Oryctolagus cuniculus: one gene and its partners. The protein of the gene in region 3 interacts with the protein of the main gene of each other region in a pairwise test. Links are inferred from orthologs where the notes say so. Each region holds a gene or a part of one and is shown on either strand. Other genes may lie near its edges.

What was found.
Region 1: the proteins of LNX1 (region 3) and NADK interact in binary tests that used the Homo sapiens proteins (3 or more experiments, as listed by UniProt). The link is inferred for Oryctolagus cuniculus from reciprocal best matches to the Homo sapiens genes LNX1 and NADK.
Region 2: the proteins of LNX1 (region 3) and ACAT2 interact in binary tests that used the Homo sapiens proteins (3 or more experiments, as listed by UniProt). The two-hybrid records come from large-scale screens. The link is inferred for Oryctolagus cuniculus from reciprocal best matches to the Homo sapiens genes LNX1 and ACAT2.
Region 4: the proteins of LNX1 (region 3) and NUDT14 interact in binary tests that used the Homo sapiens proteins (3 or more experiments, as listed by UniProt). The two-hybrid records come from large-scale screens. The link is inferred for Oryctolagus cuniculus from reciprocal best matches to the Homo sapiens genes LNX1 and NUDT14.
Region 5: the proteins of LNX1 (region 3) and OSGIN1 interact in binary tests that used the Homo sapiens proteins (3 or more experiments, as listed by UniProt). The two-hybrid records come from large-scale screens. The link is inferred for Oryctolagus cuniculus from reciprocal best matches to the Homo sapiens genes LNX1 and OSGIN1.
Region 6: the proteins of LNX1 (region 3) and melanoma-associated antigen B18 interact in binary tests that used the Homo sapiens proteins (3 or more experiments, as listed by UniProt). The link is inferred for Oryctolagus cuniculus from reciprocal best matches to the Homo sapiens genes LNX1 and MAGEB18.
Region 7: the proteins of LNX1 (region 3) and RAD51D interact in binary tests that used the Homo sapiens proteins (3 or more experiments, as listed by UniProt). The two-hybrid records come from large-scale screens. The link is inferred for Oryctolagus cuniculus from reciprocal best matches to the Homo sapiens genes LNX1 and RAD51D.

The regions. Positions count from the first base shown.
Region 1 is NC_091438.1:163,979,411-163,983,360, reverse strand, and holds the start of NADK (NAD kinase), read right to left. Parts: upstream 2,801-3,950; 5' UTR 2,366-2,800; coding exon 2,187-2,365; intron 2,078-2,186; coding exon 1,883-2,077; intron 1-1,882.
Region 2 is NC_091436.1:8,274,901-8,278,400, forward strand, and holds part of ACAT2 (acetyl-CoA acetyltransferase, cytosolic), read right to left. Parts: intron 2,318-3,500; coding exon 2,136-2,317; intron 1,126-2,135; coding exon 1,008-1,125; intron 1-1,007. UniProt on the Homo sapiens protein: Involved in the biosynthetic pathway of cholesterol.
Region 3 is NC_091439.1:110,430,600-110,434,099, reverse strand, and holds part of LNX1 (E3 ubiquitin-protein ligase LNX), read right to left. Parts: intron 900-3,500; coding exon 741-899; intron 364-740; coding exon 228-363; 3' UTR 1-227.
Region 4 is NC_091451.1:47,132,777-47,136,717, forward strand, and holds the start of NUDT14 (uridine diphosphate glucose pyrophosphatase NUDT14), read right to left. Parts: upstream 2,801-3,941; 5' UTR 2,705-2,800; coding exon 2,624-2,704; intron 546-2,623; coding exon 502-545; intron 114-501; coding exon 49-113; intron 1-48. UniProt on the Homo sapiens protein: Hydrolyzes UDP-glucose to glucose 1-phosphate and UMP and ADP-ribose to ribose 5-phosphate and AMP. The physiological substrate is probably UDP-glucose. Poor activity on other substrates such as ADP-glucose, CDP-glucose, GDP-glucose and GDP-mannose.
Region 5 is NC_091449.1:65,745,147-65,748,646, forward strand, and holds part of OSGIN1 (oxidative stress-induced growth inhibitor 1), read left to right. Parts: intron 1-930; 5' UTR 931-968; coding exon 969-1,029; intron 1,030-2,061; coding exon 2,062-2,198; intron 2,199-2,649; coding exon 2,650-2,841; intron 2,842-2,974; coding exon 2,975-3,066; intron 3,067-3,500. UniProt on the Homo sapiens protein: Monooxygenase catalytic activity. Involved in regulation of cytokinesis; promotes RHOA activity, probably acting locally at the midbody in late cytokinesis.
Region 6 is NC_091453.1:12,178,088-12,182,336, reverse strand, and holds the start of melanoma-associated antigen B18, read right to left. Parts: upstream 2,801-4,249; 5' UTR 2,590-2,800; intron 1-2,589. UniProt on the Homo sapiens protein: May enhance ubiquitin ligase activity of RING-type zinc finger-containing E3 ubiquitin-protein ligases. Proposed to act through recruitment and/or stabilization of the Ubl-conjugating enzyme (E2) at the E3:substrate complex.
Region 7 is NC_091448.1:39,164,444-39,168,591, reverse strand, and holds the start of RAD51D (DNA repair protein RAD51 homolog 4), read right to left. Parts: upstream 2,801-4,148; 5' UTR 2,472-2,800; coding exon 2,390-2,471; intron 2,191-2,389; coding exon 2,129-2,190; intron 1,922-2,128; coding exon 1,803-1,921; intron 1-1,802. Other genes in the region: FNDC8 (fibronectin type III domain-containing protein 8), read left to right, coding at 3,760-3,968. UniProt on the Homo sapiens protein: Involved in the homologous recombination repair (HRR) pathway of double-stranded DNA breaks arising during DNA replication or induced by DNA-damaging agents. Bind to single-stranded DNA (ssDNA) and has DNA-dependent ATPase activity.

The DNA of each region.
Region 1 (3,950 bases), on a different chromosome or scaffold from region 3:
AAAACAAATTTAATGTTAACAAAAACATTTACCCTGAACTATACGAAGAGCCCAACTTTTCCAACAAATGAAAAGTGACTGACTCATGGCATCCTGGGAAAAGGCCCTGGGCTGGTGCTCCTGCCTTTACCGGGGTCAATGGGCTGAGGCGACACCTGTGACCTCCTGACCACGGGAGCAGGACGCTCCGGGGCCACTGGACGTGATGGCCAGCAGGGAGCCGCCCGCTGCTCTCTGTCTTCAACCACTGCCAGCGTCCCAGTGTCTACGCTGGAGAGCGGGCGTCTGGTGGCTGTGGCACACCTGGGGCCTTTCTGGACCGAGCGTGCTCTGGGCTTGCTTACGTACGTCTTCTAAAGATGATTAAGTGTATTGCAAAACCCAGACTGGACTCAGGAACTCAAAAGGCAACCAGAAACCAGGTGTGCGGCTCCTCCACTTGCCATGGGCGCCTTGGGGGCGTGGCTCCCCTCCCCCGCCTCACTCAGGGCCCTCCAGAGCCTGCCTCTGACCGCTGACCGCTGTCTGTATCCCCAGGTCCAGGGTCCTGACAGGAAGGCTGCACGGAGCCAACAAACTTACAGAAACCGAAAGCAAAAAGCTCTGTCGGGCACCGCCACGGCCTGGAGGCACCAGGGACCGAGTGACAACTCCACAGCGGCTGCTCTGGGCAAGCCGTGCCCACGCCGCCAGGGCCCTCACCAGTGACGGGGTGCTGCTGCCCACCAAGTTCATCTGGTCCCCAAACGTGGCCTGCTTTCAAAACCACTTTCCAGGGCTGGGGTCGTGGCACAGCAGGTCAGCTGTTACCTGCGATGCCGGCTCCCATATCAAAAGCACCGGTTCAAATCCCGGCTGCTCTGCTTCTGATCCAGCTCCCTAGTAACGCGCCCGGGAAGGCAGTGGATGATGGCCAAGTGTCTGGGCCCCTGCCGCCCACCCATGTGGGAGCCCAGGCTGGAGTTCCAGGCGCTGGCTGTGGCCTCCCCCGGCCCTGGCTGTTTTGGCTACTTGGGCAGTGACCTCGAAAACAGATGTCTTCCTCAGCCTTCCAAAAAAATCTTTAAAAACAAACAATAAAACAAAAACAACAACCATTCTCCACCGAAGAACTCTCCCTTGGCTGGCACGGGCGTGAGCCCTCCTTGAGGGCACCGCCTGGCGAGCTCAGTGCCGCCACCGCCACCGTCACCGCCGCGTGCCTGTCAGGCCTCCCGGACACGAGGTCTGGCTGCTGTTGCCCAAGCGCCATTGAGCAAGAGCAGTGCCGCGGCCCACGGAGGGGCAGGCGGGCAGAGGGCACACACGTGACGGGCCCTGCCCAGGCATGCCCTCCGGCCCTCGCCTCTCTGAAGGGCCAGGAACACAGAGGTCTCCTCACCAAGTCTAATACTGAAAGGCAGTGTGGGGGCGGTGCTGTGAGGCAGTCGGCTGGGCCTCCACCTGCAGTGCCAGCCCCCACATGGGCACTGGTTCCAGTCCTGGCTGGTCCACTTCCCATCCAGCTCCCCGCTATGGCCTGGGAGAACCGTGGAAGATGGCCCAAGTGCTCAGGCCCCTGCTCCCAGGTGGGAGACCCGGAGGAAGCACTGGACCGGCTCAGTTCCGGCTCTTGTGGCCACTGGGGACTGAACCAGCAGATGGAAGACCTCTCTCTCTCTCTCTACCTGACACTAAAAAAGAACGAACGAGCGAGAGAATCGGTGTGGGCTGAGCTGGGTGGTCTGGGCCAACTCGGGAGGTGGCCACCCAGGTCCACCTTCTGGACAGAAACCACACTAGTAACACCGGTCGGCCTCAATATTTAATTCTCAAGGATTCTTCGTGACCATATTAATAAATCACATCACGAACGGGAGGGGAAGAGGCCTCGCGCCCATACCTGAACTCCTTGGTGCTGCCCGAGGCGGGCGAGGCCGACAGGCTGCGTGACTTGGCCCGGCCCCGGATGGGGGGGCCGTCGCCCCAGGTCTCATCGCCGTGGCACGCCGAGCAGCGGTAGGCGGCGGAGTCTGGACTTAGCTCCTTGTTTGTGTTCATGTTTTCTTGTTCCGTTTCTGTAGCCGCTAAGCAATAACTTTGGACAGAAAAACACTGATGTCTTATTTAATAAACTAACAAACACAGATACACAAAACAGCGATAAAGCACACACATTAGGGGAAAGCTGCTGATGTCCGATTTACCCAAGTTTTTTGAAAACAGGCTGTCTCCACCCCAAAGAGGACAAAGACCTCAGCCATGAACCTGGGGCTTCTGGAAGGGTCTGGAGCCCTAGAAGCCGAGGAGTGAGAGGAGTGCCGGGGGCGGAGCTGTGGCGCTGCTGGCACACAGCAGCCCCGGGGTCAGTGCCGGGGCAGGACATGGCGCCCTGCACGGCGCCCGTCAGTCCAGGAGAGCCTGCACAGGCTACGTTTAAGTTCAGCACTCAGGAAACGATCACCAAGGCCGACCTACACTGAAGCCAGGGCGGGCCTCAAATTCCAAAAGAGGAGAAGGGAGAGAAGCTCCTCTCTGCCACAACACAGCAGAACCCAGAACCCAGAAACGGGGCCGGCGCTGGGCGCAGTGGGCAAAGCCGCTGCCTGCAGTGCCGGCATCCCATGGGCACCAGTTCCAGTCCCGGCTGCTCCACTTCCCATCCAGCTCTGTGCTGTGGCCTGGGACAGCAGTGGAGGACGGCCCAGGTCCTCGGGCCCCTGCACCCGCGTGGGAGCCCTGGAGGAAGCTCCTGGCTCCAGCCTGGCCCAGCCCTGGCTGTTGTGCTCATGTGGGGAGTGAACCAGCAGATGGGACATCCCCCCCCATAACTCTTTCAAAATAAGTAAATAAATCTTTTAAAAAAATACACACACACACAAGAATAAAAGTGTGACAAAGCCGTGCGGCCCCCACACTCCCACCACAGGGGTTCTGAACTCGCTCCCGACCCTGGCGAGGGCTGACGGCGAACCTCAGAGCCAGTCCACAGAGCACCCGGAAGGTGAGGGCGATGCCGACCCGGAGCCAAAGTCTACTCGCGGTTAACGCCAGGCTCAAAGTCCCGAGAACAAAAGTGGTGAGCTACACGCCCGCCGGCTGTGCCGCAGCGCGGCCTGGGCTCCGTGCCTGAGCTGCGGCAGAGCCCCTGAGGGTCCAGATCCCGGCTCTGGCCCACCCCGCCCGGCCCCAGCTGTTCGGGAGTGAACCAGCAGATGGAAGATCTGTCACTACATCTCTCGAATAAATAAATAAAATCTTGGAGGACAGCACTGTGGCGTAGCAGGTAAAGCCTCCACCTGCAGTGCCGGCATCCCATATGGGCGCCCATAAGAGTCCCGGCTGCTCCACTTCCCATCCAGCTCTCTGCTGTGGCCTGGGAAAGCAGTAGAAGATGGCCCGAGTGCTTGGGCCCCTGCACCCGCGTGGGAGACCTGGAAGAAGCTCCTGGCTCCTGGCTTCAGATCGGCCCAGCTCTGGCTGTTGGAGCGATCTGGGGAGTGAACCAGCAGATGAAAGACCTCTCTCTCTCTCTCTCTCTCTCTCTGCCTCTCCTTCTCTGTGTAACTGTGACTTTCAAATAAATAAATAAATCTAAAAAAAAAAAAATAAAACCTTAAAAGAATCAAAGAGGAACCGTAATGAAGAAACCGTTATGGTGACGGGATGGCTGCCACACACAGGGAACCAGCAAACCGGCCAAGGCACCTGCGGCGGCAGACGCCGGCACACGCCGGCACCGAGGCGGGTAAGAGGGCCTGGGGTCGTGACCCAGGTCCTGGGGTGCGGCCCGAGGCACACAGGGACAGAGTGTCGTGCCGGGGACACAGCGGGAAGAGGCCTGGAAAAGCTGGCCCCGACGCAGGGCCCGGGGCACAGCACGCAGGCAGCCCACGCAGCAGCCCACCACACGACCCACGACGTCACCCCAAAGTCAAGACGGGAGAGGCAAACTCGATACACAAAACCAA
Region 2 (3,500 bases), on a different chromosome or scaffold from region 3:
CCAGACACCCCAGCAGGCCCTGCTTCTCTGGCTGTTTGCACCAGCGTAGCGTGCCCCAGACGGAGAGCTGGTGAGTGGCACAAGCCCGGGCGATCCCTCGCTCAGCGCCTCCTTGGCCTGCGGACGGCCGCCCCCTCGCGGTGTCCTGTGCGTGCTCACGCCTGGCGTCTGTCTCAGCTCCCTCCTCTCACACACACCTTTCAGATCGCACGACAGCCCACCGTCATGGCCTCGCTGTCCACTCTGCGTCCTTAGAGGCCCTGTCTTCAAACACAGTCACGTGCTGAGGGGCTTCCGGTTACGGGTTAACAAGCACATTTTGGTGGCGTCACAGCTTGGACAAGACCGAGGACCTGAATCTACAACCCTTGGTGACGGGAGGCCCGAGTACCACACCTGAGAAACTGACCCGACGCTGTGACAAGACCCTGGCCGGCACGCAGCTCCCAGGGTCTGCCCTGCCCTTCGGCCTGGCCTGCTGCAGCCCTCACCGCCAGGCCCTCCCCTCTCTGCCCGCACTTCCTGCTGACCAAGTCCTGCCCCTCTCAATACCTTTCTCCTGCCTCACACTCACGAGCCAGAGCCAAGCTGCACGCGTCTGGGCAAGGCGCTTCACCTCTCGGGTCTGCTTCTTTAACTCGAAGTCTCACACAGACACGAGTTCTTCTCACGACTTCCCACTTACTTTGCAGGAAACCTAGACCACAGGGCCTTGCACACGGATGACTCGACCCAGTTGTACGGCGCAGATCGCACAGTGAGGGCCCAGCAGTACCGGCTGGCCTCTGCACAGAACCCTCTTTATGGGGGCTGCAGAACTCCAAGGGACCCCCCTTCTAAGTGCTCTGCTGGTCAGGGAGTCACATGGTCACACGGTCAGGGGAGACACTGACTCGCTGCACCGCAGTTCACCAGAGGGACTTCGTCCTACAGCAGGGACAGGATCTGCCCGTGAGGAGCGATGGGGCAGGCGGCGAGCGAGCTCGCGACCCTGTGGGAGTGCTCACCCGTAACACCCATGTGGTAGTTGTGGAAGGCGTCGGTAAGGCCGTCACAGAGTATGCTGTCAGCGAGCGCCGTCTCCCCAACCCGCACTCCTGTCCTCAGGTGAACCAAGTGTGGCGCCTGGGAACGAGAAGCAAACGCGGGCTGAGGCGGGGCGGTGATTACTCCTGTCCTGGGTCAGGCCGCCCCGGCCACACAGGCAGCCCATGAGTGCCACCTTCGTCCTGACTACTCTCTGATCCAGCTCCCTGCTAACGCACCTGGGAAAGCAGGAGATGGCCCACGTGCAAGCCACGTGGGAGACCCAGGTGATGCTCCCGGCTTCAGCCTGGCCCAGCCCTGGCCGCTGTGGCCGTTTGGGGAGTGCAGCAGTGGATGAAAGATCCGTCTCTCTCCCTCTGTCACCAAGGATGGCAGCTGACCAGTAAGTGGGAACCTCCGAAGTGTGTAAAGGGGCAGACACCTGGCCTGGCAGTTAAGGTGCCTGCGTCCCACACGGAGGCCTGGGCTTGAATCCTGCCTGGTGCTCCACTCCAACTTCCTGCTAAAGCAGACACTGGCAGACAGCCTATGCTTTTATGTATTTATTTGAGAGGAGTGTCAGAGAGAGAGGGAGAGAGAGAGAGATCTTCCATCCCCTGGTTCATTCTTCAAATGCCCGCAACAGCTGGGGCTGGGTCAGGCCGAAGCCAGAAACCAGGAACCTCATCTGGGTCTCCAATGTGGGTGGCAAGGACTCGAGTACTTGGGTCATCGTCTGCTGCCTCCTGGGCACATTAGCAGGAAGTTGGATTGTAAGCAGAGCTGCGACTTAATCCCAGGAACACGGGAGGCTGGTGCCACAACTCTGGCGCTTCCATTAACTTCCGGAAGCACCCTCCTGTTGGGGCTTTAATATTACACGCTTCATAAGCACAGCTTAAGAAATGTACACTCGTTCCACTCACACGGGTAGGGAGGATTTTTCCTCAATTAGGATTTCCCAACCAACCTGAAGAATGATTAGCACTGAGGTGGGGGTCAAGGTTGAACCCGTGTTGCTTATTCATTAACTGTGTGGCTCCGGCTCTGACGAGCAGGGACAGGACCCGTCAGTGAGGTCACCGGGGCCGTCCCGTCCGAGGCCGTACCTTGCTCATGTTCTCCATGCCGCCTGCCACCACGATGCTGGAGTCCCCTAGGGCTATCGACTGCGCGGCGAGGCACACGGCTTTCAGGCCCGAACCACAGATCATCTGGCAGCTCCAGGCCGGGACGGAGTAGGGGATGCCTGCACCCACACTGGCTTGTCGGACTGGATTCTGCCCGCAACCTGGAAGCAGCAACACAGAGGCCTTAGGCACTGAGTAGAAAGACTTCGGGGTGAGAGGGTACGCAGCGCTGCCAGCCAGGGCCGGAAGCCCACAGGCTGCCCTCGGCAGCTCTTCTCCTCTTGTCCTTAGTCACCACACTGCGGCGCGCTGGTTACCCAACAAGATGCGCAGGGAATCAGAACCCACAAAGGCCTTCCCTGAGGCCGCGGTGGGGACTGGAAACACGGGTTACGCAGAGCAGCAGCGGAAGGGGTGGAGTCAAGAGTTCCAAATATTCTCAGGCACCGCTGTCTGCCGCCAAAGGGTCTTTATGCCACCTCTCAGATTTGCCCGAACCTAGCACTTCTCCTGCTGACTTCCGGACAACTGAGCGTTCCCTTTGGCGTTCTGCTGGCCTGCTGGCTGGAGAGAGCACTGTTTGGATCAAGAGATGGCGTTCCCCAGGGCTACCAGCTGCTAAAAGTCATCTTGATCACAAGGTTATTAATCTGGGATGTACACATGACTGACCACACACACAGCAGGGGTCTGGCGCTGCCTGTGACGCAGGCATACCATCGCAGCATGGGTTCTTTTTTTTTTTTTTTTTTTTTTTTTGACAGGCAGAGTGGACAGTGAGAGAGAGAGACAGAGAGAGAAAGGTCTTCCTTTGCCGCTGGTTCACCCTCCAATGGCCGCCGCTGCAGCCGGCGCACCGCGCTGATCCTGGCAGGAGCCAGGAGCCAGGTGCTTTTTCCTGGTCTCCCATGGGGTGCAGGGCCCAAGCACCTGGGCCATCCTCCACTGCACTCCCTGGCCATAGCAGAGAGCTGGCCTGGAAGAGGGGCAACCGGGACAGAATCCGGCGCCCCAACCGGGACTAGAACCCGGTGTGCCGGCGCCGCAAGGTGGAGGATTAGCCTATTGAGCCACGGCGCCGGCAAGCAGCATGGGTTCTTGTCCCGGCCACGCCACTTCTGATCCAGCCCCGTGCTAATGCACCTGGGAAAGCAGCGGAAGATGGCCCAAGTGCTCGGGCCACTGCACCCACCAAGGAGACCTGGAAGAAGCTCCTGGCTCGGCCCAGTCCTCAGCTTGTGGACTGGCATCGCAGACACAGATCTGGATTCAAGTGCTGGCTCCACTTCCAACTGTGCCCCTGGTAGTTATGTGATGTCTCAAAGTCTCATGCACTCACCTGTG
Region 3 (3,500 bases):
CACAAAATACAAATGAAGGAGTACAGTGCAGTGCTGCATCCTAGATCAGACCATTCTGTAGTAGTTTTTATTTTTTGAGAGTCCTATTTTCTGAGGTGCAATTGGCTTTATTAGATTAGGCCTTCTCTGACATTTTCACAAAGTTTTCGTTCACTATAAAAATTGACAAGATAAATACATTGTTCCAGCTTAGCCCGTGTGTCATGTTCTCTGACCCGTTATTGATGCTACAAGAATGTGCCAGGCCAGGACACCAGAGTGAGGGTGATTCTTCCTTTGAGTTCCTTCAGCATTCGAGCCAAGCAGGCGTGCGTCATTCCTGCTGTGCTCCTGCCGTTGACTGCGAGGAGAATGTCACCGCACCTGAACAAGGCAGCAGGAGGGATGTTTGGTTTCTTAGCTGAAGTTTATGCAGATTGATTTTGGTGGCCTCATTTCTGCTAGATTTGTTTGGTTTTGATTACTTAAGGGTCTCCCCCCCCCTTAGATTCTTTAAGCATGCTAGTCATTCCGCTTGTGTTAAAAGGGGTGCTCAAGGTAGAGCGACCTGCAGTGTAGGGCCGAGAGCACGTGCGATCGATCATCGGGGTGTTTTATGTTAAATGCTGTGCAAGTGTTTTATTTTCTTGCCCACCCTTCCCCTCAAAAGGAAGAGCCCTTATTTCAGATGGGGCCAGTATTGTGTGTCTGAAGCAAAGGACCTGAATGTAAGCTCTCTGTGCAGCAGTTGTCTTTATTACCTGATCCTTCCATCGTTGTACGCTGGTGTGCCTTCCACCACGGATTTGATAAAGAAAGGCTTGTTTCCGCTGTGTTCTTCATACCCTCCCACGATGCAGAAGCCCAGGCTGCCTGCCGCGTTTCTGCGTAGTGCGACATCTTTGCAGTGATACAAGTACCTGGGATAGAACAGAATTGGAGGATATGCACAGTTCAGTGTAACGGCTGGAGACGGAGTATTGTGCCTGTATCCCATTCCTTCTGCTGGCATTTTCTTAAGGCTAAATAACACTGGACAGCTCCCGCCCAAGTGTGTTTCTAGCTCAGCAACCTCTATGCTACAGCTGGCTACAGCAAACATTATGACCATCATATTTTTATTTACCTGAGTATAAATTTTTAATGAAGGCAGAAATCTTTCGAACAAATCGTTAAAATCAAGAAAATGTAGGTGTAATGAATGACTTTGTTAGCGTGTACTTGACCTTCGGAAAGCTCTAGTGCATATCGGGCTCTGCATGTTTGGTAGGTGACTGAGAAGTGTGCAGGCGGAATGTGAGTGGGATTGCACCTTCAGGAAAGCGGAACTGCAGACGCTGAGAAACCAGCTGCTGGAGGGATGGGAGGAGAGCGCACAGCCCTGCGGTGGGTGGGTGGGTGGGTGGGTGGAGGCCTCAGCCAACCAGGGAGGGAGGCTGGGCACATTCTGCTACTCTCCCTGGTCACTGGCTCCCTGCTCGCCAGGACTCCTGTGTCTGCCACATGTGTGCTGTAGTCCATGAACTCCTGAGAGGAACACGTTTTCATGTTGGCAAAAATCAGGATATGACTACTGTTTATAAACTGTACCTTAAAATAACATTGCTTTTTGAAAACCAATAAAAGTCTCTTGTGAATAAGTGAAGTTGCTCGTTACAGTTGTTACCGATCTTGCTAATCAGGGTAATGTGACTTTTTTCACGACGTTGCCAATACTCAGTTGAAGTAAAACCACCTCTGAGGTTTAATGAATACCTTTAAAATGTAGTGCTTTGTATCTGTTGTCCTACATATCATTTATAATAATTCGATAGCTGAAAAACATGAATGTCATTAAATGAGAAAACGACTTACTGTCAAATACCTGCTATTTCACAAGAAACTTTGATGTCAGTTGATGACTTCAGCCTGTAGAAGCCGTGGTGTGTGGGATAGATACCATGTTGTACTTAATAGCTTACTGAGTGCTTGTGCACGGAGCAGGTCCGTGCCTAGCCCCCGACACCAAGGCAATGACATTCCCTGTGGGAGACCCTGTGCCCAGCGTCTGGGATTGGAAAGTCATTAGAAGATGCCTTTCCCAGGTCATGCTCCTAGTCTGCAGACACAACAGGTTCATGGAGTAGGACCTGAAACTGTCCCTGTTTGTCACCCTTGTGACATACCCTCATTGCTCCCTCTGGGCCTCCTTCCTCGTAGTTCCTGGTCCCTGCAGTCGTGCTCCTGAGCAACACCAGAACTGCATCCTCCGTCACTGTTCTGCTACCTGTCACCGACCTTCCCAGGTCACAGCCTCGGAACCATGACCTTACATCCGGGTCAACTCCTCCGCTTAGCTTCTACGTGTTGGGGAGGACATGGGGTACTTCACTTAGTAGCCCCTGGTTCTGTGCGTTTTTCTGCAGATGACACAACTTCCCCTTTTTGTGGCTGAATAATACTCCATTGTGCATACACCATGCATTTTCTAAACCATTCACCCGTCTCTGGGCAGCGAGGTTGATTCGTGTCTGCTGTTGTGAATAGTGCTGCAGTCAGCGTGGGAGTGCAGTATCTCACGTGCCGATGTCATTGTCTTCAGCTACATGTCAGCAGCCAGATGGCTGGAGCCTCCTGCACTGCTTGAAGATTGCGAGTTTGCAGCAGTGTGTCCCAGTTCCCTCTCGTCTGCATACTGCTAGCATTCATAGCTGTTCTAGCTGGGGCGATACGACACCTCATTGTTAGGATGTGCATTTCCCTGCTAATGACCATGCACTTTTTCCTCTATTTGTGGGCCATCTGTGTTTACTTTTTTGAGAACTGTCTTTAGATCCTTTGCCTATTTTTAAATTGCACTTTTTTTGTTAAGTTTTTTGTTCCTTACGTATTCTGGATATTACTCCTTTGTCAGATGAAGAGTTTGCAAATATTCTTTGTCATTCTGTCGGTTGTGTCCTCACAACACTGATTGTTTCCTTTGCTGCGCAGAGCTTCCTCGTTTGATGGAATCCCACTTGTCTGTCTTTGCCTTAATTTTGCCCGAGCATTTGGAATTTTACCTCCAAAAGCATTGCTTATATTGTAGTCTTGAAATACTTTCACCATGTTTTCTTCCAGTAACTTAATACTTTCAGTTCTTTGGTCCATTTTGAGTTGATTTTTATAGTGATTGAGAGGTGGGTTGTGTGCATGTGTCAAGTTTCAGCTCTCTGCATGTGGATATCCAGTTGTCCCAGCACCATTAATAGCAGAGGCTGTCGTTTGTTCTGTCCCATTTGTGTGTGTGTTCTCACGCCAGTACCGTGCTCTCTGGTTCCTGTAGCTCTGTCATCTGTCTTGAAATCAGGCATCGTAATGCTTCCAGTGTTGCTGCTGAAGCTTGCCTTGGCTCTTCAGTCTATTGTTTTTCTGAGAGAATTATAGGGTTTTTTTTCTATGAGGAGTGCTACTGCAAGAGTGAGGATTGCATTTTATCTGTAAAATTGCTTTGCATAACCGACATTTTAAACACTTTTTCCAACCCATGAACAAAGGAGGTT
Region 4 (3,941 bases), on a different chromosome or scaffold from region 3:
CCCAGAGCGCCCGAGGTGCCCCACCCCAGCCCACCCTGCCTGCCTCACCTGGCCGGAACTGCCTGACCAACACCAGACTCCTTCGGGAAGAGTTGAACAGGAGCAGGGTCACGCTGCGGGGGGGGGGGGGGGGGGGCTAGCACAGGAGCAGCCCTCCTGGCTTCCCCGTGCCCAGCGTGCCTCCCACACCCACTCCCGGGCCCCTTGCTCAGATGGGGAGACCGAGCCCACACAGCTCAGGGCTCACGCATCAGGCCAGGACCCGGTCTTCCCTGTGCCAGCTGGCAGGGCGGGGGCGGGCACGCTGCGCAGCTGGGCCAGCACAGCCCACACCCCAGACATGCGGGCGAGGGCACCAGGAGGCGCCCCCAGCTCCCAGAGGCCCCGTCCACTACCGCTGAGCCACCAGGCCTACGACCGAGCCCTCAGGACAGGAAAACTGGAGGCTGAGCGGGGGCGGGGCTCGGAGCCCGCTCCCGAGGCGGGCCAGCGGGCTCTCACCTGTCGTGGGTCTTCATGAAGTCCCAGGACTTCTGGGTGCCGTTCTGAAAGAGACGGGGCGGTGGGGAGGCGGGCTGAGGGCTGCCACCACCGAGGCGGCCCGCCGGGCCCGTCACACCGCTCCCACGAGGGATGTCTGGGGAGGGGCCGCGGCCTGCACTGGTCAAGAGGGCCCGGGGCTCCAGCGCAGGGAGCTCAGGCCGAGCAGAGACCAGGATCCCACGGCAGAGGTGGCTGCTCGCCCTGCGGGGCTCGGAGACCCGACCCCTCCACCCTGGGCAGCCCCTCTTGCCTTCCGTGGTCCTGCTCCCCAGCCTGCACCCTGCCCGGGCTACCAGGAGGGCCTGAGCAGTGCTCAACGAGGGGGCCGGGGCCGGACTCCCCACGGCAGCCGGTCCAACAGGTAGAAGGCAGGGCTCCTGGGGCCAGCATCCACCCTGGGGTCCGCAGCAGACAGTGCCATTCCCCCGGCCCACTCCCACCCAAGAGGGTCTCCGCTGACGGGGCCGGACCGGGGGCCAGCCTGAGGTTGCCCAGCTCCAGGGTCCACTGGGTCCACTGTGCGCCAGCCAAGAGCAGGACCCTGGGGCTCTGTCCGGGACCTGAGATGGACAGAGGTCTGAGCCTCAGAGACAGGAGGCACAGCTGGGGTGACAGCAGAGGGAGGATGCCAAGGGTCAGCCTTCCTGAGGACTTCCTGGAGGAGGTGACGGGAGGGGATGGGAGGCCTGAGCAGTCAGCCCCAGCTGAGCCTGGTTTCCAGTGGAAGGCCGTTGGGCACCACCCGGCAGGCAAGCCCAGGCCTGCCTGACACCAGGGCCGGCTCGGGGAAGGCGTGCCCCTCCAGGCTGCCCCCCCCAGCTGCCTCTCCTAGGTGTCACCCACACAGGTCTGGGGCCCTCGGTCAGGCCCTGAGGGCTGGGGCAGCCAAAGCAGCTCTAGCAAGGCCTGGGTCGGCGGGGCCAGCACCCACCAGCTGGACACCGTCCTGGGGCCTGCAGCGGGCGGGCTGTGCCGCTCCCTGGCCCCCTCTCCCCCAGGGAGGCCTCTCGGAGGGGGCTGGACCTACGCCTGCCAGAGGCTGCCCAGCTCCAGCGGCCACCGTGCGCCAGCCACGGGCAGGACCCTGGCGACAGCACCCTGAGGACGGGCCTGGGGTGGAAACGTGGGCCCGTCCTCCTCAGGGCTGTCTGGCCCCCACCAGGGCCCCCTGGCTGCCCTGCCCTGCCCGCTCCCTCTGCGGCCCTGGCTCCCTGGGCACCCCAGCCCTGTCCCTGCTGGCCTGCACCTGCGCCAGTGCGACCCTGCTGGCCAGCACAGCCCGGGGTGGGGACGGGTGCTCCGGGGGCTGTGCAGCCACAGCAGGCACCCTGTCCCCCACGTCCCCACCAGCCCCTCTACCAGCGCTGCCAACTCGGCAGGGACAGTGGCAGGAGCCTGGATGGGAGGGGGCACTGGAGGCCGGCCTGCACCCAGGGAGGGTCTCCGCGGGGCCTGGAGGAGCCCGGCAGGAGGCGCGGCCCTGGGACGGGTGGGCCGGCCGGCGCGAGGTGGGGGCGCGGTGAGGCCCTGGGAGAGGCGGGAGAAGGCGCCACGACCCAGTGGTCCAGCGGGAATCTTCGGTGAACCTGCTCCGCGCGGTGCCGAGGCCACGTCCTGGGCGGGGGCCGGGCCTCCGGGAGGCGCCCGCCCTGCGAAGCCCCTGGGGAGGAAGCCCACCTTGCCACGCCCCCTGTCCAGCGCCCTCTGTCCACCTCCTCCTCCTTCAAGTCTCGGCGCCGAGCCCTCCGCCTCCGGGGAGCCTCTTCGACCTCCCAGGGCACCTGAGTCCCAGGGCGAAAAAGGGACGTCTGGGCCGGGCAGGGAGGCGGGGGCCCGCGCCAGACGCGGTTCACCTGCCCCGCTAACCTCGCGGGCGGGGCGGGGCCCACGCGCAGAGCCCGCGGTGGGCGGGGCCTCGCGGGCGGGGCGGGGCCCACGCGCAGAGCCCGGGGTGGGCGGGGCCTCGCGGGCGGGGCGGGGCCCACGCGCAGAGCCCGGGGTAGGCGGGGCCTCGCGGGCGGCGCGGGAAGCGCGGGAGCGCGCCGGGGGCCGTGCGGGGCCGGCGGCGGCGCGGGCTCACCTGGCGGTAGTGCAGCGTGAGCGGCTGCAGGTAGGGCGACGCGGTGCAGGGGCCCACGGCTGCTCCCTCGATGCGCTCCATGGCGGCGCGCGGGGCAGGCAGGCCGGGGCCGGCGCAGGAAGGGGCCTCGCCCGCTGGGAACGGCGGGCGCGTTCTCGCGCCCCGCGCATGCCCAGTGCGCCCGGGCGGGGCGGGGCGGGCGCGCGGGCGGCGGCGGCGGCGGCGGCGGCCCCAGGTAGCGCGCCAGGTGTGGCCTGCGAGCAAGGAGCGCGCGGGTCTGGCGGGCCGTGGGGCGTCCTGGTCGGGGAGGGGCTGGGGCGGCTGCGTCGCGCCTGGGGGCCGTTCGGGGGCGGGCAGTCCTCCGAGGCAGGGGCTCCCTGGGGGAGAATGACCGAGGCCGAGGTGGGAGGGTCCTGGCTGCCCGGAGAGGCGTGTGGAGGCCGCACGAAGCCTTTGGAAGCAGGGCGAGGCGCGAGGAGCCGAGAAGGGCTGCGGGCGGGGAGGCTGGGCTGGCCGGGCCGGGCCGGGCCGGGCCGGGCCTCTGCCCCTGTGCCCTGTCGGAGGAGCTGCCACTCTGTGGGGCGGCCCCGCTCCCGGAAGCCCCCACCTGCTGACACCCGGCTGTGGAGGGCCCGCGGGACCTCCCCAGAACGCCGGGGCAGGTGCACGGTGAGATGGGTGCTGAGGCCCGCACCCTTGGCCTGCACCTGCTCCCCGTGTCGCTGGGCTGTGGCTTGGCCGGGGCTGTGCCCTGGGGTCCTGCTCTGCAGTGGGCAGGTGGTCGCGGGCCTGCAGTCGCTGTGGGTGAACAGCTGCGCTGCCCTCGCTTGGCGCCTGCCCTGGGACAGCAGGGCTGACCCCTTAGGTCAGGAGGACGGCCCTGGGCCACCCGAGTCAGGGCAAGAGGTCGTCGCAAGGAGGGACACTGGGAAGCAGTCCGTGGCGCCTTCGTCCAGGACCGGCCGCCGCCCCGCCCGGCCGCCCAGCGTCCCGAGGGCCCAGCCAGGTCCTGCTGTGGGCGTGTGCTGAGGAGCGGCCGAGGCCGGCCCAGGGCTGGGTCCCTGCCCTGCTGTTGGGGGCACTTGTGCTCGGACCCCTTTAAGTGCTGTTTGAATTTGGCGTGATGTATTTCCCCTCCAATGAAATCAATAATAAAAGTTAAGATAGCAAGTTTTCATGTATCTCTTAGAGCGAGGTGCTGCCCGCTGGTTCACTCCGCAGATGCCCGGAGCAGCCAGGAGCCCGGGGCAGACCTCCTGACCGGGGGTTCCCGGCGAGACCAAATGCCCACTCAAGGCGGCACACTTACGGTGCTGCT
Region 5 (3,500 bases), on a different chromosome or scaffold from region 3:
CGCAGGGAGTGGCCGCGGCCAGCGGTGGCCGCAGAGCCCCGGGGCCGCGCGCGGGGCCGCGGGGGCTCGGCGGGGCCGCGAGGCGGGGGCCAGGGTCGCGGGGCCGCGCGCAGAGACCCGGGAGGGGCGGGGCGGGTCCGCGGGGGCGGGGCCAGGGACAGCCGCCGAGTCACGGGGCTGCGCGCGAGGGACTCGGGGCGGGGCGGGGCCAGGATGGCCGCAGATTCACGGGGCTGCGCGCGAGGGACTCGGGCAGGGCGGGGCCGCGGGGGCGGGGCCGCGGGGCGGGGGTCACGGGGCTTCGCGCATGGGCTCGGGGGCGGGGCCGCGGGTCGGGGCAGGGGGCGGAGCCACGGGGCTTCGCGCCGGGACTCGGGGGCGGGGCCGTGGGGGCAGGAGCGGGCCGGGGCAGGGGTCACGGGGCTTCGCGCAGGGGCTTGGGGGGCGGGGCCGAGGGGCAGGGAGGCGGGGCCGGGGCAGGGGTCACGGGGCTTTGCGCAGGGGCTTGGGGGGCGGGGCCGTGGGGGCGGGAGCGGGCCGGGGCAGGGGTCACGGGGCTTCGCCCAGGGCTTGGGGGGCGGGGCCGGGGCAGGGAGGCGGGGCCGGGGCAGGGGTCACGGGGCTTCGCGCAGGGGCTTGGGGGGCGGGACCGGAGTCACGGGGCTTCGCGCAGGGGCTCGGGGGCGTGGCCGGGGTGGGGCGGGGCGGCCGCGGAAGTTCCCGGGGGCTGGGCCGGGGTTTCCCTGGGAAGGCTCAGGAGGCTGCCCGGACGCCGGGCTGGGGGCGCCCTGGGAACTGGGGAGCGGGAAACCGGCCTGTTCGGGAGGAACGAAGCGTGCTATGGACTTGACCCCGGGCCCCCAGGACGCCGTCCCGGGGCTGGGAAACGGACCTGACCCGGGTGGGCCCTCTCTCCCCTCTGCCCCCCAGGTCGGCTGCCAGCCTCGAGTCTCCCACCAGCCCCAGCCATGAGCTCCTCCCGGAAGGACCGCCTCAGCAGCCCCGAGCCCCTCCCGGTGGTCATCATCGGTGAGTGGCCGCCCGGGCTGGGGAGGGCCGTGCTGTGCCCCGAGGGCCAGGTCAGCGCTGCGCGAGGCCAGGCCTGGCTTCTGGGCAGCTGTCCCCTTTAATGACCGCGTGGCCAGCACTGAATGGCCCAGGGTGGGCGTGTGCACAGCAGTGGTCAGGGTGCCCGGGTTCCAATCCCAGCTCCTGGAGCGGGCGCCCCAGCCGGCCCCGGTTCCAGCGCCTGGGCCGCTGCCACCCACGTGGAGACCTGGACGGGAGCTCCTGGCTGCTGGCCCAGCCCTGCCTGTTGTGGGCATCTGGGGACTGAGCCAGAGGGCGGGAGCTCTCTGGGCCACCTTGCAAATAATTGGAAATAGCTAAGACTTAAATCGCAAGCCCTAAAAACTGCTTGTTAAGAAGTTCCAGAGAATCCGTCCCAGAACGCAGGGGGCGGCCCGGGGCGGGGACCGCGTGAGGGACACAGCAGCGGGCCAGGGTCCCGTCCCCAGGTCTAAGATGTGGGCGGATGCCCTCCGGCACACACGTGATGTGGCTGGTTTAGTGAGTCAGGAACGGGTGGATGTGAGCGGGGTCAGACTCTGCACAGGAGGAGGGAAGAGGGGGTGTGAGGGGAACAAGATGCCAGGCGGGGCCTGGGTGATGGGGGGATGTGAACGCCCCCAGGGGCAGCGTCCCCCCCTCCCCAGGGCTCGGCACCCTCGGGCACATGGCCATCCGTGAGGTCATGTCCACCGTCCCATCGGTCTCTGCCTTGTCCTGGATTCAAATCTCTTCAGCTGTGTGACCGTGGGCGGGCCGATTAACCTCTCTGTGCCGCTTGCCCCAAGGCTGAAGGGGGAGCAGCACGGCCGTGCAGCCTGACACCCGGCCAGAGAAGCCCCCGCTGCTCACTGCTCTCTCGGGCATTAGAAGCAGCGACTGGCCACGAGCTTAGCAAAGGACGCGTCTCCTTAGCTTGACCTTCACGAACAAGGAGTAAGCCAGGTCATGGCCGAGCCCGGCCGGGGTCTCAGCGCTGCCCTCTCTCTGCAGGCAATGGCCCCTCGGGCATCTGCCTGTCCTACCTGCTCTCCGGCTACACGCCCTACGTGAGGCCGGACGCCGTCCACCCGCACCCCCTGCTGCAGAGGAAGCTGGCCGAGGCTCCGGGGGTCTCCATCCTGGACCAGGTGGGCCAGAGCTCCGCGGAGGATGCCCCACTGTGGGAGCCTCCCCCCGCCCCGACGTGTGCAGGGAAACACGAGGAAGCACCGGGAACCAGGGCTCCTCGTCACACACGTGTGCACGCCACGGCCGGCAGCTCTGCTCCCCAGGGGACACGCTTCTGGCTGTCCCCACTAGGTGGCGCTGCTGGACCCAGTGTGCGCGGTGCCCGTGATGAGACCCCCATCCCCTGCCCCTGGCGCCCTCGCTCTTCTGAGCGGGGCCGAGGACGCAGCTCTGGGTGGTGCTGCTGGGGTCTGCGTGGTCGAGGCGCCTGCTGGGCAGGCCCTCTGCGGCAGCGACGGCATCCCCACGCCTGACCGCGCCCTCGCAGTGGGGCTGGCTGCAGGACAGGCCACTGGCTCCAGGGCCGGCTCAGCCCTCCCCGCGGCCCACTCACCTGCGCCCCTCCCCCAGGACCTGGACTACCTGTCTGAAGGCCTGGAAGGCCGCAGCGAGAGCCCCGTGGCCCTGCTGTTGGACGCCCTCCTGCGCCCAGACACGGACTTCGGGGGGGACGTGGAGTCCGTCCTGACCTGGAAGCGGGAGAAGCACCGAGCCGTCCCCCACGTGGTCCTGGGCCGCAACCCCCCCGGGGGGGCCTGGCACGTGAGTAGGGGGCCACGCCGCCTGCCCTGGGTCCAGCTCCTGCACCCCCCACCCCTTCTCCCGCCCCATGCCCTGCAGCCCAGGCTGGCCTTGGGCTACAGAGTGCAGGGCCAAGGGCTCCTCTCGCCTGCAGTCCATCGAAGGCTCCATGGTGACCCTGAGCCACGGCCAGTGGATGGGGCTCCCGGACCTGCCCGTCAAGGACTGGATGCGTGTGAAGCGCAGGTGAGTGGGGACCCCCGGCTGGGGCCACAGGGTGCTGCCCCCTCTTCCCCCAAGGCGGGGCCCCAGGCTCAGTAAGGACAGCAGTGCCCGGGAGTGCGCGCACCGCCAGGCTGGGCCTGCCCCAGGGCCCCCCAACCCCCGCTGCTGCTCCCCGCCCCCAGGTCGCGGGATCCCCTGCTCTGAGTGAGCAGCCCCCGGAGAGTGATGGGAGGCGCCTCCTCTCCCGGGCACGTTGTGGATACTTGTGCATTAAAAGCAAGGTCGCGGCACAGGAGGCTGCCGGTGGAGAGCGGGAGGCAGGGCCGCCGTGCCCGGGGCGGCTCCCCCGGCCCCACGGGCCAAAGGGCACCCCTGAGTAGCCTGTCCCGGGGCGGGGGCTGAGTCGGGCTGGCTCCCCATCTGCAGGCCCTCGGCTCTGGGGTGGGAAGCCCCCC
Region 6 (4,249 bases), on a different chromosome or scaffold from region 3:
TATGCTCTTCTAAATGCCTGTAGAATCTATAATAGTATCTCTTTTTCATTCCTAATATGTGTATAATTCATTTGTTATCTTAATCAATCTTGCAAGCATATTATCATATTTCAAAGGATCATCTTTTGCTTGATCAATTCTATTATTTTCTATTCTATTTATTTGACTCTTCTCTTTCTCATTTCCTTTTGTTAAATCATATTGATGTATTATATTCCGTTCCTTTCCAGTATCTTAACATGTTTGTTTTCTCTTGCAGGATCTAGTCTGGAAACTGGAACCGTGAAGCATTTATCACTAGATCATTTACCATTACAGATGTCTAGAATTTCATTTAAATGGAATATAAAATGTACATTATTTTACAGCTGGATTTTTTCATTCACTGAGACTTTTTTTTCATCCATGTTATCACATGTTGTTTGTAGTTCTTAGGTTTTGCTAATAGTATTCCATTATACAGATATACCATGATTTCTTTATTCATTCATCTTTTGATGGACATTTGAGGTGCTTCCTGGTTTTGGAAAACCAGATAGGGATAAAGCTTCTATGAACAGCAGGATACAAGTCTTTATGTATACTCACTTTTCATTCTCAGTTAAATAACTAGGTATGGAATTTCTGAATCATCTGGAAATCATATTGGATATCAAATATAATTCTTTTTATAAGATTTATTTATTTATTTGAAAAGCAGAGTTACAAAGAGCCATGGGCAGAGAGAGAGAGAAATCTTCCATCCATTGGTTCATTCCCCAAATGGCCACAATGGCAAGAGCTAGGCCAATCCAAGGCCAGGAGCTAGGAGCTTCTTCTGGTTCTCCCACATGGGTGCAGGGGCCCAAGCACTTGGACCATCTTCCACTGCTTTCCTAGGCCATAGCAGAGAGCTGGATTGGAAGTGGAGCAGCCAGGTCTTGAACTAGCACCTATATGGGATGCTGGCACTGCAGGAGGTAGCTTTACCTGCTACGCCACAGTGCTGGCCGCCAATATCAAATATGATTCTTAAGCAAGTGTAGTTAATTTAATTCTTATTGGATTCTGTTAATAATTTAATGCTCAGCTCTACTTTTAAATATTAGGAATCTTGGCCGGCGCCGCGGCTCACTAGGCTAATCCTCCGCCTTGCGGCGCCGGCACACCGGGTTCTAGTCCCGGTCGGGGCGCCAGATTCTGTCCCGGTTGCCCCTCTCTGCTGTGGCCAGGGAGTGCAGTGGAGGATGGTCCAAGTTCTTGGGCCCTGCACCCCATGGGAGACCAGGATAAGTACCTGGCTCCTGCCATCGGATCAGCGCGGTGTGCCGGCTGCAGCGCACCGGCCGCGGCGGCCATTGGAGAGTGAACCAACGGCAAAAAGGAAGACCTTTCTCTCTGTCTCTCTCTCTCTCACTGTCCACTCTGCCGGTCAAAAAATAAAAAAAAAATATATTAGGAATCTTTTTCACTATAACTTCATACATATATTTTTGGGTTGTTAAGATGTGCTACACTTAAGTTTCAGGCCTATGGGCCGGCACTGTGGCCTAGTGGGTAAAGCTGCCACCTGCAGTGCGAGCATCCCATATGGGCACAAGTTCGAGTCCCAGCTGCTCCACTTCTGATCCAGCTCTCTGATACGATCTGCACACAAGTGGGAGACCCAGAAGAAGCTCCTGGCTTACCTAGCTTTGGATCGGCCCAGCTCTGGCCATTGTGACCATTTAGGGAGTGAACCAATGAATGGAACACACCCCCCATCTTTCTCTCTGCCTATGCATCTCCGTAACTCTGCGTTTCTAATAAATACACATCTTTTAAATAAAATTGAGGCCTCAATTCATGGTAGTTAATATGTATTAAGTACTATTAGAGTGTTAACAACATTGTTATTTCTTCATATTATGTCATTTAATCTTCGTAGTAACCCCAAAGAGTCTTCCTATTAGTCTCTTTTTTAGATGAGGTATAAAGTTAGGCAAAACGGCCTTAACTTACCAAAACACAGACACACACACAGAAATAAGATGCAGAGCTAGGATTTGAATTAAGTTGGCTTCCCAAATCGATGTTATTAATTGTATTGCGTTAAGTGTAGAATAAATGGGTAAGCATGTATTTGAAGGTTGAACAAGAAAGAAAAAAAGATACATATGCTCAAAGCATAAACAGCAGTATTCATTTAAATGAGGATTTCCAGCATCAAATTTTGGTCAATATAAACAAATTATTGATTAAAGTGCATAAATTAAAAGCCCAGGAAACAAGACACTAAGGTATACCTTTAAGCTAATTAATTTTGTATATCCAACTAGAATCTGATAGTTGCCAAAATGTGTAATGTTATTTATTCCATAACTCCAAACTCAAAATATCTCTATTTACCTATCTATACACAAACATACACACACACACACATATATACCAAATGTTATTTACATATGCATGTGTTATTTGGGCATCAATTAGAATAGCCTTAGTAAATACTAGTAATACATAATTGATTAAACAACAGAAATGGCACATGCCTATCTTGGTCCTTTCCTGCGGCTATAACAAGATCCCTTAGACTGGGTAATACATAAACAACAGAAATTGGTTTCTCACAATTCTGGAGACTGGAAAGTCCAAGATCACGGTGCCAGCAAATTTAGCATCTGGTGAAGACCTGTTCCGTAGATGGCCCTTCTTGAGGCATCTTCATATTGTGGAAAACTCAGAAGGAATGAACACTGTGTCTGCACATGGAAGAAGTGATAAAAGGGCCAGGCAGCTCTCTGAATCCTCTTTTATAAAGGCATTCATCCTACTAATGCAGGCAGAGCCCTTGTGACTTAATCATCGCCCAAAGGCCCCACCTCTTTATACTTCTGTAATGGGAGATTAAATTTCAACACAAAATTTGAAGGGACACAATCATCCAAACTACAGCAATGTCATATTTTTAAATTTTGTTATACATTTTGCTTCTGTTGCTTGAGCTTCTGTACAATGTGTTCCATTGATGCACAGAAAAAAAATGGCCCAACAGTTGTAACATCTTCACCTTATCTCTCAGCCATTGGCAACACAGATTTATGGAAAATCTACCATGTTACCGTACTAATCATGGTTGAGGGAAAAGGCAATTTTATGCCTTTTCACCAAAGAAAAACTAACAGTTGGTTAACATCAGTTTCTTGACTACAAAAATCACTCGTTTGTTAAGGGAATTGTTTTAGAACTTGATAATAAGACATATTAAAGGAGTTTAAAAAATAAAAAGTTCACCTTCTCAAATATAGTAACTACAATACAACTGCTCTATATAAACTAACGTAAATTAGTTGGGTGCAACACTTTCCAATTTAACTATCACAACTCCTATTGATACAGCAGACTGCCACTGAGATCACTAAAGAGAACAATAAAGAGTAATTTCCAGGGGGAAAATAGCATCTTTGTTAGATGAGTCAAAAACAGTTGGATTTGTTACTGGGAGACCTATCAGACAAATGTTTGAGAAAAGAAAAGTCACACTTCCCACATGAAGCCTTAAAGGGCTACTTACAGAAAGCACAGGGGCGAACATGCTTTGTAAGACAGTAAGACAGGAATATGAACTACTTAATGAACAAAAACCCAGTCTCTGCCCACATAGTTGGCAACTCAGTATTCAGAATATAGAAACATGACAAAAATAGTTTTCTTTATATTTACCCAAGGACAGAATTTCCTCATATTATTCATATCTTATTTTATAAACTGTAGTAGGAGAAAAGCCATGAAAACAATGAACTTGATTAAAAAATACAGCATCGTAGTTTTAATACTGATATTTAGTTATTAAAAACTGCACATATTCTCATAAGTATTAACTGGCTTAAAAATAAACTCTTTATTTCAGACAGATTATAAAAAGGCAAATTTACCACTCACGGAAGCACTGATTTCAGGTTGCAAGAAACCCAGGCAAAAGCTATGTGGGATGCCATTTATAATGTCATGAAAGTGAAATGTAGCTAATGAGCCCTTCACAATGGTTTGCATCATGCTCATTTCTGACTCTGCCTTTGTGGCAACTACTGATCAGAAAAAAAGTCCATCCATTTCATGTAAATCTGGCTGCTCGTTGCTCTAGTACCAGTGTTAGGAAACTCAATTTAAATCAAGCCTAATCACTTCTGCCAGCCACACTGCACTTCCCAACACTCCCCACCCACCCATACATTGTAGCATGACTGTTTCTTGCATCTCTCAGCCTTCTTCCAATTCAACCACACTCTAA
Region 7 (4,148 bases), on a different chromosome or scaffold from region 3:
CAGGCAGGCAGGCAGGAGCACATCACGATGAAGGCTGGGAACCTGAGGAGTCATCTTTGATTCCTCCCACCTGGCGGTACAGCTTCTCCTATTTCTCATTCAACACATCTCCCACCACCACCCGCCCTGGATCCGACTCACACAGCACCCCCACCCCCGCCTAGCAGTCCCTCCCTGGCCTCTCTCCGCCGCCCGTGCACTCTGCACACCTCTACTCCACTGCCTGTGCCTCTGCTCCCAGCTGCAGGCAGGCAAGGCGGAGGGGCGCTCTCAGAGGCGGGGCGTGTGCCAGGGCTGCTGCTCACTAGCCGCCCCCTCCTCAGCAAGTCGTTTCTTCACCTCCCAAGTGACGACCTTAGCGATAACACGCTCACGGGTGGCTGTGAAGTAACGAAACGACACACTGAGCACAGTGCCCGGCTCCCAGCAAGCTTCGGTGAGAGCCCATCTGTTGCTCCGTGCCCAAGGCCTGCCTCCTCTGGAGCCCTCCTGAACCACTCTGGCTGGCCTACCCTGCAGGGCCGGAGCCAGCTGCAGTCCTGCAGGGCAGCACTTGATTGCTCTCTGCATGTGTGGCGGTTTTATCAGCTCCCTAAGCCCGAGGCCAGTCCACTTCCTGTTAATCACTCCCTCCTGGATGCTGCCACCTCTATGCACTCACTCCTCCTATGTTCGCCGGCTTTTCTCCTATACCCAGTGGACACCAGTCTCCTCAAGGCCTCCCGGGCATATATACCATCTGTATGCACCTGCACCCAGGAGGCAGGCACTCAGCCAGTGCCTGATGGATCACAAACCGGGACCCCAGCAGCAGCGGCAGGCACCATGCTGTATGAATCTTGCCAAGAGAATGTTATGGAAACAGCAAAGGCTAAACCAACCCAAAGACATCAAACTCTGCACAAATAGGCCAGGAAGGAGGCCGCACTCATTTGGCCAGAAAATGCCTGTTGTCTTCCAACTCTTTCCCTCCCCAGCCGATCAGGGCAGGAGGCAGCTGCTCCTTTCTGTTAAGTCCTCTTGTTCTCTACTACTGCAGAGAGTGGAGAAAGGAACCAAGTTCTGGTTCAAATACACCTGGGCTTTGAGCCTCACCTCTGCTACTCCTCTGGGGCCAAACTCAAGTGGAGTTCATGCCTCTATCTGTGGGGTCCCTGATGAGATCACTTATAACCCTATGGTCAATAGATGCGAGTGTAGGCACTCAGCAAATGCTAGCCCTTGGGGCTGGCGCTGTGGTGTAGAAGATAAAGCTGCTGCCTGCAGTGCTGGCATCCCATATGGGCGCCAGTTCAAGCCCCGGCTGCTCCTCTTCCAATCCAGCTCCCTGCTATGACCTGGGAAAGCAGTAGAAGGTGGCCCAAGTCCTTGGGCCCCTGCACCTGCATGGGAGACTCGGAAGAAGCTCCAGGCTTCTGGCTTTGGATCGGCCCAGCTCTGGCCACTGGGGCATTCTGGGGAGTGAACCAGCGTATGGAACACTTCTCTCTATCTCTCCCTCTGTCTCTCTGTAACTTTCTGCCTTTCAAATAAATTAAAAAAAAATTTTTTTTTAAAGTGCTGTCCTTAAGTGAAATGGGAGGCAGGACCACAGAAGAGATAGTCCAATGTGCTGAGTAACAAGGAGACACTGACATCTTGTAGATCTCAGCAAGGGGTGATGTCGGGGTGGGGTGGGGTCCACCATCATAGCTCAGGACGGTCCCCATCTCCCACACAGCCACAGTGCTTCCAAGGACCTGCTCTCTCCAGCCTCCCTCATCAAGGGCTGAGCTGAGAGGCAGCTTCAGTCACATACGAACCTCCTGATGCCCGTGGACAGGATGGCGGTGGAGCTCTTGAGTTCCTCGTAGAGATCAGAGCCATTGATGGGGAAAGCCGAGAATTGAGCCAGCAACACCCGCCGCAGGGCGACCAGGGCCTGCCAAGGTGGGGGGGGGGGGGTGTCAGCTCAGGCTCCAGAGCAGCTCAGACTGGCTGGCCACTGAGAGGGACAACCGGGAACTCAACCATCCCTGGGCCTCACCAGCTCCCCTCGTCCATCTCGGGCTAGCCTCTGCTCCCTTGCCCTGGGCAGGGGCGAGGAAGCCCACCCAGGCTCGCAGCGCGGAGCTCCTCCTGAGCTCACCTTGTAAGACAAGCCAGACTTCTGGGCCACCTCCTCCAGGTCTGCGGAGGCCAGGTCCACCACTGAAAACAAAACACCTGTAGCTGACGGGCAGCGAGGGGGCCAGGGGCTTCCCAAGGGCCGGTGCGACACCGCTCCCCAGAGTTTGGCGTCCCCGCCCCCCGCCCCATGCCCGAGGCTGCGCGGAAAGGCGCGTGTGGCGGGCGAGGGGTGGCCCCGCGGCTTCCCGGCACGAACGCACGCCCGCCGGCCCGCCGTCACCTGTCCTGATCCCGCGGCTCCGCAGAAGCTGGACCATCTCCGGGCTGAGGCCTGGGCACAGGCCGACCCTGAGCACGCCCATGCTCCCCGCCAGCGCGGGACAGAGCGTCCCTGCAGAGCCCCCTTCAGACGCCCCTCGCACGCCTCGGTGCAGCGGGTCCTGACGCACTGCTGGCGGGAGGAAGGGGCTAGGAGCCGCGCCGAGCGGCGGGTAGCAGGAGGGGGCTGACCACCCGCCCCTCCGGCGCCCAGGGCCCGCCCGCCTCCGGCCGCTTCCGGGTTCCAGGCTCGCGCGCGCGGCGTGGGCCAGGCCCGCAGCGCCACCTGCTGGCCACACAGGGCGAGCCGCCGCAGCCTCGCGCCCGCGGGTCCTACGGGCCCCGCGATCCGCGATCCGTGAGCCGCCGCCTGGCGCCGCGCCAGCCCGATCCGGTTCCTGCGCGCCCACCCCGCGCCCACGGCCGCCCTAGGACAAAAATGTTAAACTCCTGGACAATCCTCTACCCTCTGGGAGCTGATGAGTCGGGGAGAGACAGGCAATGAAAAGGACTCAAAGCAATCTGACCGGTACGGATCCTAGGATAAGCACGCAGGGGGCACCTACTTCTCTGTCTCGAAACCTTGGAGCATATGGAACACGCGCACACGCACGTGCGATTCGGTGAAGCGTGAAAATGACTTTACCGAGCGCTCTGACAAACCTAGAGGGAGGCGCTATTCGTATCCCTGTTCCGAGCGGCCTCCCCTGGGAGCTGTGAGCACCCGGGAGCCATCACCCGACCCAGTGGGGTTTGCCGCCTACAGTTTGAGGACAGAGAGCAGCAGCCTCCGCAGCCAGCGTCGCCCGCACTCAGAGACTCTGCCCGGAACCGCCAGCCTCCCCAGCCCCAGGCACCTCCCTCCCCGCCCAGGCGCCTTTTTCATCCTCTATCTCCTTGCAGGGCAGCGCAGAGAGGCACAGGTGTCGAGTGTTCCGAGGTCTTCAGAGGCAGGCGTCTGGGGACACTATGGGGATGATGGCTCCGATGACGGGGTCCCTGCCGCTCATGGGAGAAACCCAGATGGAGTTCTGAGCTCCTGGCCTCGGCCTGGCCCAGCCCTGGCTGTTGTGGGCATTGGTAGAGCCTGAGGGATGCTGTGGTTTGTGCCTGGTTCCACCCTACCTGTGGCTCTGGCCCTTTGGCCCAGCCAGCACCCCAGGGAGCCTCAAACCCAGGGCCAGGCTGGCCCCTGATTGTTACAGCTGATGATGATTGTGAAGTCAGCCCATTGCACCCCCTCCGGTGTGTCTGCTGGCCCCGCAGTTTCTCTCTGCTTCCTGCCAGCTCGGTGGTCCTGCATGGTGACGGCTGTGGTCCCAAACCAACCAGATGGCATCAAACGCACTCTGTAAAGTGGGAGATGGGGAGGAGGCCGTGCTGAAGAAGGAAAACCTCAACCTCGTGAGTGCACTCGACCAGCTGCCGAAGCCCTTTCTGAACCCCAAGTCCATGAACCGCACCGTCACTACCAAAGGACTCCCACTTTCCTCAAGAGGCAGCTTGGTTAACTTCTTGGAGGAAGACACCATCAATCTTGTGTAAGACGCGACTCTGGAGCTGGGGGACCGGGAGAGGGCCCAGAGGAAGCCGCACCCTCTCGCCTGTCTCAGGCCAGCCCCCAGGTCCCCTGGAAAGACCACGTGTGTGGGTCGCACCTCTGTGTTCCCGAGCCCAGAGTTGGTCCCTGCAGTACAAGGCTCTCCCACTCCAGGAAGCCT